4 linked regions of the Saccharomyces cerevisiae S288C genome follow. The gene in region 1 interacts genetically with each later gene. Each region holds a gene or a part of one and is shown in the gene's direction. Other genes may lie near its edges. The genes, in order: DUN1, IXR1, PPH3 and PMR1.

Evidence for each region.
Region 2: mutations in DUN1 (region 1) and IXR1 together harm fitness more than expected from each alone (negative genetic interaction), as found in Saccharomyces cerevisiae (7 studies listed by BioGRID, with this or other methods).
Region 3: mutations in DUN1 (region 1) and PPH3 together harm fitness more than expected from each alone (negative genetic interaction), as found in Saccharomyces cerevisiae (7 studies listed by BioGRID, with this or other methods).
Region 4: mutations in DUN1 (region 1) and PMR1 together harm fitness more than expected from each alone (negative genetic interaction), as found in Saccharomyces cerevisiae (5 studies listed by BioGRID, with this or other methods).

Annotation. Positions count from the first base shown.
Region 1 is NC_001136.10:279,807-283,439, reverse strand, and holds DUN1 (serine/threonine protein kinase DUN1), read left to right. Parts: upstream 1-1,591; coding exon 1,592-3,133; downstream 3,134-3,633. Other genes in the region: BUG1 (Bug1p), read right to left, coding at 1-21; guanine nucleotide exchange factor GET3, read left to right, coding at 264-1,328; DNA-directed DNA polymerase delta POL3, read right to left, coding at 3,275-3,633. UniProt on the Saccharomyces cerevisiae protein: Transducer of the DNA damage signal. Phosphorylates SML1 on serine residues. Cooperates with the PAN deadenylation complex in the regulation of RAD5 mRNA levels and cell survival in response to replicational stress.
Region 2 is NC_001143.9:379,494-383,731, reverse strand, and holds IXR1 (DNA-binding transcription repressor IXR1), read left to right. Parts: upstream 1-1,873; coding exon 1,874-3,667; downstream 3,668-4,238. Other genes in the region: MAE1 (malate dehydrogenase (oxaloacetate-decarboxylating)), read left to right, coding at 1-1,016. UniProt on the Saccharomyces cerevisiae protein: Binds to platinated DNA and confers sensitivity to the anticancer drug cisplatin. Activate the expression of the COX5B gene.
Region 3 is NC_001136.10:595,300-598,669, forward strand, and holds PPH3 (phosphoprotein phosphatase PP4 catalytic subunit PPH3), read left to right. Parts: upstream 1-1,856; coding exon 1,857-2,783; downstream 2,784-3,370. Other genes in the region: trehalose-phosphatase TPS2, read left to right, coding at 1-1,284; putative DNA-dependent ATPase RAD55, read left to right, coding at 3,169-3,370. UniProt on the Saccharomyces cerevisiae protein: Forms the histone H2A phosphatase complex in association with the regulatory subunits PSY2 and PSY4, which dephosphorylates H2AS128ph (gamma-H2A) that has been displaced from sites of DNA lesions in the double-stranded DNA break repair process.
Region 4 is NC_001139.9:187,080-192,329, reverse strand, and holds PMR1 (Ca(2+)/Mn(2+)-transporting P-type ATPase PMR1), read left to right. Parts: upstream 1-1,861; coding exon 1,862-4,714; downstream 4,715-5,250. Other genes in the region: YRB30 (Yrb30p), read left to right, coding at 1-352; CUP2 (Cup2p), read right to left, coding at 524-1,201; HUR1 (Hur1p), read right to left, coding at 4,534-4,866; SUA5 (threonylcarbamoyladenylate synthase), read right to left, coding at 4,991-5,250. UniProt on the Saccharomyces cerevisiae protein: This magnesium-dependent enzyme catalyzes the hydrolysis of ATP coupled with the transport of calcium. Has a role in the secretory pathway.

The DNA of each region.
Region 1 (3,633 bases):
ATCAGACTCCTGTTCAGACATTGTAACTATATGATAAACTTGCTCAATTCAGGTTGGTTCAATGCAAATTATTACATCCCTTTTTTATCACAAGATCTTCGTAACAATAGTACTAATTAATAGTGCTGGGGATTCTCAACCATTTTTTTTTTTTCAAAAGCGAAAATGGATAAAACGGTGGCAACTTCAAACAAGTTGAGGGAAGCCAACGCAGCGTTTAGGAAAACGTACGACAAGAACAAGAAGATCATCACATTGTAATTATGGATTTAACCGTGGAACCTAATTTGCACTCTTTAATTACCTCTACCACTCATAAGTGGATTTTCGTTGGTGGTAAAGGTGGTGTTGGTAAGACTACTTCATCATGTTCCATTGCTATCCAAATGGCTTTGAGTCAACCAAACAAACAGTTCCTACTGATCTCTACTGATCCTGCCCATAACTTAAGTGATGCATTCGGTGAGAAATTTGGTAAAGACGCCAGAAAGGTGACAGGCATGAATAATCTATCATGTATGGAAATCGATCCATCCGCTGCTTTGAAGGATATGAACGACATGGCAGTTTCACGCGCTAACAATAACGGAAGTGACGGTCAAGGTGACGATCTAGGAAGCTTGCTTCAAGGTGGTGCTCTTGCTGATTTGACCGGTTCCATCCCTGGTATCGACGAAGCTTTATCCTTCATGGAAGTCATGAAGCACATTAAAAGGCAAGAACAGGGCGAAGGTGAAACCTTCGATACTGTTATTTTTGACACTGCTCCAACTGGCCACACATTAAGATTTCTACAACTACCAAATACTTTATCCAAGCTTTTGGAAAAGTTCGGTGAAATTACCAACAAATTGGGCCCAATGCTAAACTCTTTTATGGGCGCAGGTAATGTCGATATCTCTGGAAAATTGAACGAGTTAAAGGCTAATGTCGAGACCATCAGACAACAATTCACGGATCCTGACCTAACGACTTTTGTTTGCGTTTGTATCAGTGAATTCTTATCCTTATATGAAACTGAAAGACTAATTCAGGAATTGATTTCCTACGATATGGACGTTAATTCCATCATTGTCAACCAATTATTATTTGCTGAAAACGATCAAGAGCACAACTGTAAGAGATGTCAGGCAAGATGGAAGATGCAAAAGAAGTACTTGGACCAAATCGACGAATTGTACGAAGATTTCCATGTCGTTAAAATGCCATTATGTGCTGGAGAAATCAGAGGCTTAAATAACTTAACAAAGTTCTCACAGTTCCTAAACAAAGAATATAACCCTATTACTGATGGCAAAGTCATTTATGAGTTAGAAGATAAGGAATAGAAGCCCCTGAATACCATAAATAGATACATACGACATATAACCATAGAAAAAATAGTAATACGATGGTATGTGTGTGAAAAGAAAAAAATTACGTGACGCGACGCGTTTGTTTACTTTTTTCCATTTTATTTCCATGGTATTTTTCAAATGATTTTGGAAAATTATTAGATATTGTTGAAAAAGGAGGAAATGAGAACCCTTTATAGTCGAGAGTAACAAGTAAAGGGGCTTAACATACAGTAAAAAAGGCAATTATAGTGAAGATGAGTTTGTCCACGAAAAGAGAGCACTCTGGTGATGTAACTGACTCTTCATTCAAAAGACAGCAACGAAGTAATAAGCCCAGCTCAGAATACACTTGTCTGGGCCATCTGGTGAACTTAATACCCGGAAAGGAGCAAAAAGTGGAAATAACAAATAGAAACGTTACTACAATCGGTAGAAGTAGGTCGTGCGACGTTATATTGAGTGAGCCTGACATCTCGACTTTCCATGCTGAGTTTCATCTACTGCAAATGGATGTGGATAATTTCCAAAGAAATTTGATTAATGTTATCGATAAGAGCAGAAACGGAACTTTTATTAATGGTAATCGTTTGGTGAAGAAAGACTACATCCTTAAGAATGGTGACAGAATTGTCTTTGGCAAAAGTTGCTCCTTTTTGTTCAAGTACGCATCTTCATCTTCTACTGACATCGAAAATGACGATGAAAAGGTAAGTTCAGAAAGTCGTTCATATAAGAACGACGACGAAGTTTTCAAGAAACCGCAAATAAGTGCTACAAGTAGCCAAAATGCTACAACGAGTGCCGCAATTAGAAAACTGAATAAGACAAGGCCTGTGTCGTTCTTTGATAAATATTTATTAGGTAAAGAATTAGGTGCAGGGCACTACGCCCTGGTGAAAGAAGCCAAAAACAAAAAAACTGGTCAGCAAGTAGCTGTGAAAATATTCCACGCTCAGCAAAATGACGACCAAAAAAAGAATAAACAATTTAGGGAGGAAACTAACATCCTAATGAGAGTGCAACATCCAAACATTGTCAACTTACTAGATAGTTTTGTAGAGCCAATCAGCAAATCTCAGATTCAAAAATATTTGGTACTGGAAAAGATCGACGATGGCGAACTATTTGAAAGAATCGTCAGAAAAACATGTTTGAGACAGGATGAATCCAAAGCTCTATTCAAACAGTTACTTACCGGATTGAAGTATCTGCATGAGCAAAACATCATTCACAGAGACATCAAGCCAGAAAATATCTTATTAAATATAACAAGGCGCGAAAATCCAAGTCAAGTCCAACTTGGCCCATGGGATGAAGATGAAATTGATATTCAAGTTAAAATAGCGGATTTTGGCCTAGCAAAATTTACAGGAGAAATGCAATTCACAAACACACTTTGTGGTACGCCTTCTTATGTAGCGCCCGAAGTCCTCACAAAGAAAGGATACACATCAAAAGTAGATCTTTGGAGTGCTGGTGTCATATTATATGTCTGTTTATGTGGTTTTCCTCCATTCAGTGATCAATTGGGGCCACCTTCATTGAAGGAACAGATCTTACAAGCTAAGTATGCGTTTTACTCTCCGTACTGGGATAAAATCGATGACTCAGTACTACATTTAATATCCAATCTTTTGGTCCTAAATCCTGATGAAAGGTACAATATAGATGAAGCTTTGAACCACCCTTGGTTCAATGACATACAGCAACAAAGCTCGGTCTCATTAGAATTGCAGCGTTTACAAATTACTGACAATAAAATACCCAAAACATACTCAGAATTATCTTGCCTCTAAACATGAGAAGCATTATTTCAAAAACATTGTTTGAATCTGGATTTTTCCAAGTATCTATTTATATATACATATATATCCACCAACATGCAAAAAGTTGTTAGCCTTTCTTAATCCTAATATGATGTGCCACCCTATCGTTTTTTACCATTTGCTTAATTGTTCTACTTTCTCCTGCAGCTCTTTTTTAACCTTAACCCGCATATAAAAAATGTCACAGTTCTTATTTGAACACAAAACTTCACTATGTAAGTTACCAGCGCACCTTTGGCATTGTGTCCATAATCTTGAGTATTTTTCCTCTAAATCTCTGACATCGTATAATGCCTTTATGTATAATTCTCCAGACCTTGCTAGACAGTTTGAACAAAGAGGGCCTTCACCTTTCCTCAACGGACCTTTACAACTTTTACAAGCCTCAACTTTTTTAATAAAGCTCATCAAGCCTCCTTTTTGAGAGCCTGTGTTAATTTTAATGGATTTCACAACGAACATACCGTTCG
Region 2 (4,238 bases), on another chromosome or scaffold:
TCGGTGTTAAGAACGCTAGAAGATTACTAGAAAAGTACAGGTACGAATTGCCATCATTCAACGATGACATTCAGGGCACCGGTGCCGTCGTGATGGCCTCGTTGATTGCTGCTTTGAAACATACCAACAGAGACTTGAAAGACACCAGAGTGCTTATTTACGGTGCCGGGTCTGCGGGCCTCGGTATCGCAGATCAAATTGTGAATCATATGGTCACGCACGGCGTTGACAAGGAAGAAGCGCGCAAGAAAATCTTCTTGATGGACAGACGTGGGTTAATTCTACAATCTTACGAGGCTAACTCCACTCCCGCCCAACACGTATACGCTAAGAGTGATGCGGAATGGGCTGGTATCAACACCCGCTCTTTACATGATGTGGTGGAGAACGTCAAACCAACGTGTTTGGTTGGCTGCTCCACACAAGCAGGCGCATTCACTCAAGATGTCGTAGAAGAAATGCACAAGCACAATCCTAGACCGATCATTTTCCCATTATCCAACCCTACTAGACTACACGAAGCCGTTCCTGCCGATTTAATGAAGTGGACCAACAACAACGCTCTTGTAGCTACCGGATCTCCTTTCCCACCTGTTGATGGTTACCGTATCTCGGAGAACAACAATTGTTACTCTTTCCCAGGTATCGGTTTAGGTGCCGTACTATCGCGTGCCACCACCATCACAGACAAGATGATCTCCGCTGCAGTGGACCAACTAGCCGAATTGTCGCCACTAAGAGAGGGCGACTCGAGACCTGGGTTGCTACCCGGCCTGGACACCATCACCAACACTTCTGCGCGTCTAGCTACCGCTGTGATCTTGCAAGCACTCGAGGAGGGAACCGCCCGTATCGAGCAAGAACAAGTACCGGGAGGAGCTCCCGGCGAAACTGTCAAGGTTCCTCGTGACTTTGACGAATGTTTACAGTGGGTCAAAGCCCAAATGTGGGAGCCTGTGTACAGACCTATGATCAAGGTCCAACATGACCCATCGGTGCACACCAACCAATTGTAGACGAAGCATAACCAACGCCTGCACTTAAAAAAAAAAAACCATATAGAGTAATATATAAATATATATATTTGTACAATTTTTTTCTTTATTTTTAAAAAAAAAATAATACTTGACATACCGTAATAATAATAATAATAATAATAATAATAATAATATAATAATAATACAATAATACAATAATAAAAACAATAACAACAGCAACAATAGCACAAGAACATTAACCCAAGCAACTAGCAATAACAAGAACGGTAATTATCAAAACAAAATATGATACCAAATGCGGAAAAAATCGGCACATATCCATAAAACATACACATCGTGCTTAGCGATCTACATACCGTGGAGGAATGGGTGGAACGGTTACTGACGACGGCCGCGCGGGGTTTTGTGTTGGGTGTGATGTCCGGATGCAACAGCAGCAAAGGAGAGGCGCAGCGGACCTTCCTTACTTTCTTTTTCTTCTTTTCTTTTCCACCTCCCCTTGGTGAGAGAACGAATGGGAACAAAAAAAAAATGCACACATCAGCTGGTGGAGCCAAGTATAGACACGGCCCGGCGCATTCGTTCTCTCTCTCCTTCTGTCTCTCGTTCTCGCTGTAAATGTGGTTTACTTCGTTATCCTCTGTACCGTAATCGTACTGCATTGTATTCTGTTTCCTCTACTGCTAGGTCACTGCCTAACAGCTACTGCTACCGAGACTGTGACGCTGAAGTTTATTCGCTCTGATATCCCACAAAGAACTCTATTACACACAGACAAGGCAAGGCAACGCAAGTCAAGGCAAGACCACAACTATATCCCCTTCTTCTATCCATTCTGTGATATACGTACGACGCTAACAGTACCCACAACTGCAATGAACACCGGTATCTCGCCCAAACAGGACGACGCCTCTAACTCCAACTTACTCAACATAGGCCAAGACCATTCGCTGCAGTATCAGGGTCTCGAACACAACGACTCCCAGTACAGAGATGCTTCTCACCAGACACCTCACCAATACTTGAACCAGTTTCAAGCCCAGCCTCAACAACAACAACAGCAGCAGCAGCAGCAACAACAGCAACAACAACAAGCGCCTTATCAAGGTCACTTCCAGCAGTCGCCTCAACAACAACAGCAAAATGTTTATTATCCACTACCTCCACAATCTTTGACGCAACCTACTTCGCAGTCGCAACAACAACAACAGCAACAACAACAACAACAGTATGCTAATTCGAACTCAAATTCAAACAACAATGTTAATGTTAACGCGCTACCTCAGGATTTCGGTTACATGCAACAAACCGGATCGGGCCAAAACTATCCGACGATCAATCAACAACAATTTTCCGAGTTTTACAACTCCTTTTTAAGTCATTTAACTCAAAAACAGACAAACCCTTCTGTCACGGGTACAGGCGCGTCTAGTAACAACAACAGTAACAACAACAATGTTAGTAGCGGCAATAACAGCACTAGCAGTAATCCTGCCCAGCTGGCAGCCTCCCAATTAAACCCTGCCACGGCTGCTGCGGCCGCCGCAAACAATGCTGCTGGCCCGGCTTCGTACTTGTCTCAGCTCCCACAGGTGCAGAGATACTACCCGAACAACATGAACGCTCTGTCTAGTCTTTTGGACCCTTCCTCTGCAGGAAATGCTGCAGGAAATGCCAACACCGCTACTCATCCTGGTTTGTTACCACCCAATCTGCAACCTCAATTGACTCACCACCAGCAGCAGATGCAGCAACAGCTGCAATTACAACAACAACAGCAGTTGCAGCAACAGCAGCAGCTACAACAGCAACACCAGTTGCAACAACAACAACAACTTCAACAACAACATCATCATCTACAACAGCAACAGCAGCAACAACAGCATCCAGTGGTGAAGAAATTATCTTCCACTCAAAGCAGAATTGAGAGAAGAAAACAACTGAAAAAGCAAGGCCCAAAGAGACCTTCTTCCGCTTATTTCCTGTTTTCTATGTCCATAAGAAATGAGTTGCTTCAACAATTCCCTGAAGCAAAGGTCCCCGAATTGTCTAAATTGGCTTCTGCAAGGTGGAAAGAGTTAACGGATGATCAAAAAAAACCATTCTACGAAGAATTCAGAACCAACTGGGAGAAGTACAGAGTTGTGAGAGATGCTTACGAAAAGACTTTGCCCCCAAAGAGACCCTCTGGTCCCTTTATTCAGTTCACCCAGGAGATTAGACCTACCGTCGTCAAGGAAAATCCTGATAAAGGTTTAATCGAAATTACCAAGATAATCGGTGAAAGATGGCGCGAGTTAGACCCTGCCAAAAAGGCGGAATACACTGAAACTTACAAGAAAAGATTAAAGGAATGGGAAAGTTGTTATCCCGACGAAAATGATCCAAACGGTAACCCAACCGGTCACTCACATAAGGCCATGAACATGAATTTGAATATGGACACTAAAATCATGGAGAACCAAGACAGTATCGAGCACATAACCGCAAATGCCATCGACTCAGTTACCGGAAGCAACAGTAACAGTACCAACCCAAATACGCCCGTTTCTCCTCCGATTTCATTACAGCAGCAGCCGCTCCAACAACAACAACAACAGCAGCAACAACAACAACACATGTTATTGGCTGACCCCACTACAAATGGTTCGATCATAAAAAATGAATAACAAATAAACAACTTTAGTTTTCCACTGTAACATTATCCCACGCAAACAACGAGAATAAGGAATTCCTTTTTCAACATTTGTTTTATATTGTACTACTCTATTTCCTATTACTACAAATTTTACTTTATTTAATAATAATTTTTCTTTCCCTTTTTCTAACTTCAGTCTATATGTATTTGCCTGTATACATATACGCATGTGTGTAGTCTTCCCTCCTTCTTGTTTTTGTAATATACTTAAGCCAAATTCAAGTTTGCCTCTGATGCTGTGCGAGCTCAACTGACGAGCGTGATGAAGCCAAAAAAATTAATTGATTTCGCCCAGGATCGAACTGGGGACGTTCTGCGTGTTAAGCAGATGCCATAACCGACTAGACCACGAAACCTATTAATCTGTAAAATTGATCATTTTAAAGTGGCATAGTTGTACGATACACAAGGGCGACTTATCAACTTACACATAAAATATGTTTGAAACATGTCAGAAACACTCGTTACAAAGCAGACAAAATTTATTACATCAAACGATACCCTGCCTAGACAAACCAGTTAAACGTGTAAATACCTGGACA
Region 3 (3,370 bases), 320 kb from region 1:
GGAAATCCATTGATCTTAAGTGAGTTTTCTGGCTCTAGTAACGTATTGAAAGATGCCATTGTGGTTAACCCATGGGATTCGGTGGCCGTGGCTAAATCTATTAACATGGCTTTGAAATTGGACAAGGAAGAAAAGTCCAATTTAGAATCAAAATTATGGAAAGAAGTTCCTACAATTCAAGATTGGACTAATAAGTTTTTGAGTTCATTAAAGGAACAGGCGTCATCTAATGATGATATGGAAAGGAAAATGACTCCAGCACTTAATAGACCTGTTCTTTTAGAAAATTACAAGCAGGCTAAGCGTAGATTGTTCCTTTTTGATTACGATGGTACTTTGACCCCAATTGTCAAAGACCCAGCTGCAGCTATTCCATCGGCAAGACTTTATACAATTCTACAAAAATTATGTGCTGATCCTCATAATCAAATCTGGATTATTTCTGGTCGTGACCAGAAGTTTTTGAACAAGTGGTTAGGCGGTAAACTTCCTCAACTGGGTCTAAGTGCGGAGCATGGATGTTTCATGAAAGATGTTTCTTGCCAAGATTGGGTCAATTTGACCGAAAAAGTTGATATGTCTTGGCAAGTACGCGTCAATGAAGTGATGGAAGAATTTACCACAAGGACCCCAGGTTCATTCATCGAAAGAAAGAAAGTCGCTCTAACTTGGCATTATAGACGTACCGTTCCAGAATTGGGTGAATTCCACGCCAAAGAACTGAAAGAAAAATTGTTATCATTTACTGATGACTTTGATTTAGAGGTCATGGATGGTAAAGCAAACATTGAAGTTCGTCCAAGATTCGTCAACAAAGGTGAAATAGTCAAGAGACTAGTCTGGCATCAACATGGCAAACCACAGGACATGTTGAAGGGAATCAGTGAAAAACTACCTAAGGATGAAATGCCTGATTTTGTATTATGTTTGGGTGATGACTTCACTGACGAAGACATGTTTAGACAGTTGAATACCATTGAAACTTGTTGGAAAGAAAAATATCCTGACCAAAAAAATCAATGGGGCAACTACGGATTCTATCCTGTCACTGTGGGATCTGCATCCAAGAAAACTGTCGCAAAGGCTCATTTAACCGATCCTCAGCAAGTCCTGGAGACTTTAGGTTTACTTGTTGGTGATGTCTCTCTCTTCCAAAGTGCTGGTACGGTCGACCTGGATTCCAGAGGTCATGTCAAGAATAGTGAGAGCAGTTTGAAATCAAAGCTAGCATCTAAAGCTTATGTTATGAAAAGATCGGCTTCTTACACCGGCGCAAAGGTTTGAAACACCCTTTTTAACGAAATGGTTATGACTAGACAGACATCTTACGTCTTACTCCTTCATGCTTTATTTTTTTCTTTGTATTGTATTTGAACAGTCAATATGTGGTGTTGCGACGAAGGCATATATATAATAGTCTCAACCCACCATTTTCGAAGATTTACATACACATTATATTTTTATAAACTTCCAATATGTAATAACTTTATATGATATGTAACTTCTCACTATTATCCTTACTATTAAACGGTTTTTAATAAATATCATTGTTCTTTGTTTTATTAATGAGAAAAAGAAATTTAATACAATGTCCGGCGGGAAGAAAAAAAATCGATGAATTAATTGAAAAAAAGTATCTTTATCATGTGAACTGAGGAGAAGAACGGCATCTCGAAAAGAGCACGTCGAAACAGCGGTAGGTAAAAGAGGGTACTACCAGAGGTCTTTTCTCTTTATACGTTAACCTCTCAGCTTTTTCTTTTGCAATTCAGGACACTTTAACTTGTAGTCACACGCTAGTCCACGTAGCAAAGTAAAACAGCACGAAAAAAGTGATTACAAATTTCAAGGGAGATATGATGGACTTAGATAAGATTATAGCATCACTGAGAGACGGAAAACATATTCCTGAAGAAACCGTTTTTAGGCTATGTTTAAATTCACAGGAACTATTAATGAATGAAGGCAATGTAACACAAGTCGATACACCGGTTACAATATGCGGTGATATACATGGCCAATTACACGATCTACTAACGCTCTTCGAAAAGAGTGGTGGTGTAGAGAAAACAAGGTATATTTTCTTGGGCGATTTTGTGGATAGGGGATTTTACTCATTGGAGAGTTTTTTACTTTTACTATGTTACAAATTAAGATATCCTGATAGGATTACTTTAATTAGAGGCAATCACGAAACCCGGCAAATTACTAAAGTATACGGATTTTACGATGAAGTAGTAAGAAAATATGGTAATAGTAACGTATGGAGGTACTGCTGTGAAGTTTTTGATTATTTATCATTGGGGGCAATAATAAACAATAGCATATTCTGTGTTCATGGTGGATTATCTCCGGATATGACCACGGTTGATGAAATACGAACAATAGACAGGAAACAAGAAGTTCCACATGAAGGTGCTATGTGTGACTTATTATGGAGCGACCCCGAAGACGTTGACACATGGTCATTATCACCAAGAGGTGCTGGATTTCTTTTCGGTAAAAGAGAAGTTGATCAATTCTTAGAGAAAAACAACGTTGAGTTAATTGCTAGAGCTCATCAGTTAGTGATGGAAGGTTACAAAGAAATGTTCGACGGTGGATTAGTGACAGTCTGGTCGGCACCGAATTACTGTTATCGTTGTGGTAATGTAGCAGCTGTATTGAAGATAGACGACGATTTGAATCGTGAATATACAATTTTTGAAGCTGTTCAGGCACAAAATGAAGTCGGAAATGCTATAATTCCAACCAAAAAATCTCAAATGGACTATTTCTTATAAATTTTTAACAGGCACTCTAATTGTCAAGTGCATTTTTCTTTTTTTCTTCATAATGCAATAAAGGAAAAAAAATTGTAATATTACATACTTCTTTTCACATCTTAGCTAATTAACAATATGGCTTTTGAATACTAATATATACCCAGCTACCGTTTCTTCTTTTATTTTTTATTCCTTTTTTTCTTCAGTAGAATATGTTATAGATGCGGAGGTCCCCTAAGTTCTTCACGTGTTCTCTTCTCATCGCGTTTGATATGAAAAATAGAAAAAAATACATAGTAGCATGACTAACTAATAATAAGCTCCGCTATCAAAGATGTCAAGTACATTAAGGAAAGCTTTTAGATAAGGAAAAGAACTTATTAATAATATATAATATGAAAATATGTCGCTTGGTATACCACTTTCCCAATTAATAGTAGAAAGTCCAAAGCCATTAAGTAGCGGCATCACAGGATTAGATGAGATATTAAACCTGGGATTCCAGGCAAGGTCGATCTACGAAATATTTGGGCCTCCGGGCATTGGCAAGACTAATTTTGGCATTCAATTGGTGTGTAATTCGTTAGAAGGCATACAACAATCGG
Region 4 (5,250 bases), on another chromosome or scaffold:
GGGATTACTCGATGACATTACTTGGTATGCGGTAAGCGGATATGAAGCGATAGAGGAAGATGAAGAGGAAGATGAAGAGGAGGACGAAGAGGAAGGAAAAGACGGAGAAGAACGAAAGGAAGAAGAAGAAGAAGAAAATAAATTGGAGGACAAGGATTCGTCGATCACACTACTGGAGTACATCATTCGGCTGACGTCCTTACAAAGTAACGATCAGAAAAGTATATTGGAAGTGAGTGATGAAAGGTTATCTATATATTTGAACGATGAAAATACGAACTCCAGAAAGGATAGAATAAGCAATTCGACAATTGAAGAGACAGAAAAAAAGTTAAAAAACCTAAAACTTTAGGATGGTTACGTATCCTGTGCAGCCTTGGACAAATTTTATAATTGTATATATCTATGTATATGTATACGAATGGAAAAATTTATCCGAATCTCGGCCCGACTGCCAGCTTGCCGGGAGAACAAACAACCGCCAATATATGTATATGTATATTTATATAGATGTCCAGATGCATTATTGTGAATGTGAGTTATGCGAAGATACTTGTTTGTATAGCTCGTTCAACTCATTGATGGAGAATGGAATGTCAATATCGTTTAGTGCTGTGTTCGTAGTTGTATATGCGCTTCCTGTTTCATTGATACTAACAGGTTCCATAGATATACTAGGGCTTTGCTCAAGCGGATCGAGGGAAGCCAAATCAAGATTGTCAATGCTGTCGGCCTTAATTTCTCCGTTTTGCAGAGGTGGCTTCAAACTCGGCAATGTGGTTGTCATGTCTACATCCGACGAGCGACCATTTAGGCCCAAAAGAACGTCCAGATCTGCAATACCGAGACCATTGACATGCGCTGCTTCATCATTTGCCCTTCTGTGGCATGACCCTCCCTTTGATTTCCGGCTGCTTTTCCTCTTGGTATGACATTTACAAGGTTCACCCTCATCACAACGACATCGTGTTTCATCTTCCTTGCTGCCAACAGCTGGCCGTCGTGCAGAGGCACACATGCACCCACCGGATGGGTTGAAGTTCTTGGTTCTTCTCAGCTCTTTACAATGGCCACATGTGGTCGATGGTCTTCCCTTGCGTCTGATCATCTGTAGCGGACCATCAGTGTGAGTACACTGCGCCGCCCTGTGACCCCTGATACACGTTTCACAGGCATATTTGACCCCGTTAATTACGACCATTCTGTGAATACACTGATTATCAGTCCTCTTTTATCAAGCCGCCGTCTAATAAATTACATCGCCATGGCTACTGCTATTTCGTCCACAGCTTAATACTTACCGAACCAGGCCTTGCGGCTCTTACCCTGCGTGCCCGCGCACCCTGGCGACTTCGCCTCGTTTTGGCGATTTTCTTAGCAAATATTCTTTCACGATCGTAGTGGTGGAAGGTGGGTGAAAAGAGTTGCGTTCCTAGCAAGGATCGGTTGGTATCAATTGCACGTTCAGCTCATCCCTAGATAACCACTTAACAGCAAAGCCGATCGTTAAACTTTTGTATTCTACATTCTAGTTGCATTTTTTTTTTTTTTCATTTTGTTACATCAAGACAAGATTCTCTATTTAAAGAAGTACTTTTTTTGTTAACAGTGTGGACCCTACCTATCGTTATATCGAGATCTTGTTCCCTAGGCCATCGTACACTATAGCCCTTCCTTCAAGCACTTAATAGAAAAACCTCTTTTTCTACACCATCATAATAGTGTTTGCTCGCCCCGTTCTTTCCATTCCCATTTATAACAATACTAGTAACTATAATAATATCCTTACGACTGGGCAAGACAAGACGAAGCAAGGCCAGCACAGACGTAAGCTTAAGTGTAAGTAAAAGATAAGATAATTATGAGTGACAATCCATTTAATGCGAGTCTTCTTGACGAGGACTCAAACCGTGAGAGAGAAATACTAGATGCCACAGCAGAGGCCCTTTCGAAACCAAGCCCTTCTTTAGAGTATTGTACTTTATCCGTGGACGAAGCTCTAGAAAAACTGGACACTGACAAAAACGGTGGTTTACGATCATCTAACGAGGCCAACAATAGGAGATCACTTTATGGCCCCAATGAAATAACCGTAGAAGATGATGAAAGTCTTTTCAAGAAGTTCTTGTCAAATTTCATTGAGGATCGAATGATTCTACTTTTAATAGGATCCGCAGTGGTCTCTCTTTTTATGGGTAACATTGATGATGCTGTTAGTATCACACTGGCCATTTTCATAGTTGTCACTGTCGGTTTTGTCCAAGAATATAGGTCTGAAAAATCTCTAGAAGCGTTGAATAAATTGGTTCCTGCTGAATGTCACTTAATGAGATGTGGTCAAGAGAGTCATGTACTGGCTTCCACCTTGGTTCCTGGTGATTTAGTGCACTTCAGAATAGGTGACAGAATCCCCGCAGACATTAGAATTATTGAAGCAATCGATTTATCCATCGATGAAAGTAATTTAACTGGTGAAAATGAACCGGTACATAAAACCTCACAAACGATCGAAAAATCTTCCTTTAACGATCAGCCTAATTCAATTGTACCGATTTCTGAGAGATCTTGTATAGCTTATATGGGTACATTAGTCAAGGAAGGTCATGGTAAGGGTATCGTCGTAGGAACAGGTACAAACACATCCTTTGGTGCCGTTTTTGAAATGATGAATAATATTGAAAAACCGAAGACTCCATTGCAGTTAACAATGGACAAATTGGGAAAGGACTTGTCACTGGTTAGCTTCATAGTTATTGGTATGATTTGTTTAGTTGGTATCATACAAGGTAGATCTTGGTTAGAAATGTTCCAAATATCGGTATCCTTAGCGGTTGCTGCTATTCCAGAAGGGTTACCAATTATTGTCACTGTTACTTTGGCATTGGGTGTTCTGAGAATGGCCAAGCGTAAAGCCATCGTGAGAAGGTTACCAAGTGTCGAAACTTTAGGCTCTGTCAACGTTATCTGCTCCGACAAAACAGGTACACTAACCTCAAACCACATGACCGTATCTAAACTTTGGTGCTTGGACAGTATGTCCAATAAGCTAAACGTCCTCTCATTAGACAAAAATAAGAAGACTAAAAATTCTAATGGAAATTTGAAAAACTATTTGACTGAAGACGTTAGGGAAACTCTAACTATCGGTAATCTCTGTAATAATGCATCTTTCTCTCAAGAACATGCCATATTTCTGGGAAATCCTACTGATGTAGCTCTTTTAGAGCAATTGGCAAACTTTGAAATGCCTGATATCAGAAACACCGTTCAAAAAGTTCAGGAACTTCCATTTAACTCGAAAAGAAAATTAATGGCAACCAAGATTCTCAACCCTGTCGACAATAAGTGTACAGTTTATGTTAAAGGTGCATTTGAAAGAATTCTTGAGTACTCCACAAGTTATTTGAAATCAAAGGGTAAAAAAACTGAAAAGTTGACTGAAGCCCAAAAAGCTACGATAAATGAGTGCGCAAATTCTATGGCATCTGAAGGTTTGCGTGTCTTTGGATTTGCTAAACTAACTTTGTCTGATTCATCAACTCCTCTAACCGAAGACCTAATCAAAGATTTAACCTTTACTGGTTTAATCGGTATGAATGACCCACCAAGACCGAACGTTAAATTTGCCATCGAACAATTACTACAAGGTGGTGTCCATATTATTATGATCACTGGTGATTCTGAGAATACCGCAGTAAACATTGCAAAACAAATTGGTATTCCAGTTATTGATCCAAAGCTTTCCGTTTTATCCGGTGATAAATTAGATGAAATGTCAGATGATCAACTGGCCAATGTCATCGACCACGTTAATATTTTTGCTCGTGCTACGCCTGAGCATAAGTTAAACATTGTTCGTGCATTAAGAAAGAGGGGTGATGTGGTAGCAATGACTGGTGATGGTGTTAACGACGCTCCTGCGTTGAAACTTTCAGATATTGGTGTTTCTATGGGTAGAATTGGTACAGATGTAGCCAAAGAAGCCTCAGATATGGTCTTAACTGATGATGACTTCAGTACTATTTTAACTGCCATTGAAGAGGGTAAAGGTATCTTTAATAATATTCAGAATTTCCTGACTTTTCAATTGTCTACTTCTGTTGCCGCACTATCATTAGTTGCACTATCTACAGCGTTTAAACTACCCAATCCACTGAACGCAATGCAAATTCTTTGGATAAATATTTTAATGGATGGGCCACCAGCTCAATCCTTAGGTGTGGAACCTGTTGATCATGAAGTTATGAAAAAACCTCCAAGAAAACGTACCGATAAAATTTTGACCCATGATGTAATGAAACGTTTACTAACCACCGCGGCCTGTATCATCGTTGGGACAGTTTACATTTTTGTTAAAGAGATGGCCGAAGATGGTAAAGTAACTGCTAGAGATACTACTATGACATTTACTTGTTTTGTTTTTTTTGATATGTTTAATGCTTTGGCCTGCAGACATAACACAAAGTCAATCTTCGAAATCGGCTTTTTCACGAACAAAATGTTCAACTACGCCGTTGGACTGTCTCTGTTAGGTCAAATGTGCGCTATATATATACCATTTTTCCAAAGTATCTTTAAAACTGAGAAACTTGGTATCTCTGATATACTATTGTTATTGCTCATCAGCAGTAGCGTTTTCATCGTTGATGAATTGAGAAAATTGTGGACGAGGAAAAAGAATGAAGAAGACTCAACGTATTTCTCAAATGTTTGATATGTCACATTTTGTGCTTTTATCGTTTTTCCTTCCTTCCCTTTATCTTTCATGAGGACGCCCAACCCTATTGAGGTAAATGTACTAATTAATGGGAACATATGTAGATGTATATATGTACATATATTTACAACGGATACTAAGATAAACATGTATGGGCGACTTTTCGTATATACAAAGCAATATAAAATTTTATTCTTTCCTTCTTTTTCCGGACTAGATATAAAATCTCCGTAATCAGTGGTTATGATTTTCAAAAGTTAATCACAGTTTTATTTAAAACTGTATACAATTATTTGCAGCCGCCTTTCGCAATCTGTTCATAACAGCTAATCCTTCTCCTTCCTCATTTATACCTTCGACAAATATTAGGTCTACTTTATCATTTTCATCCACTTTTCTTAAAGCTGCAAACAAGTTAGTCTGTATTTCTTCACCAGATTGGCCAAGTCTTTCGATGATGAAAGTTTTCGAAGAAAAATCGGGTTCATTAAAGATCTTAGATTGTAAGTCGGAATCACGTAATTTTAGGGAAG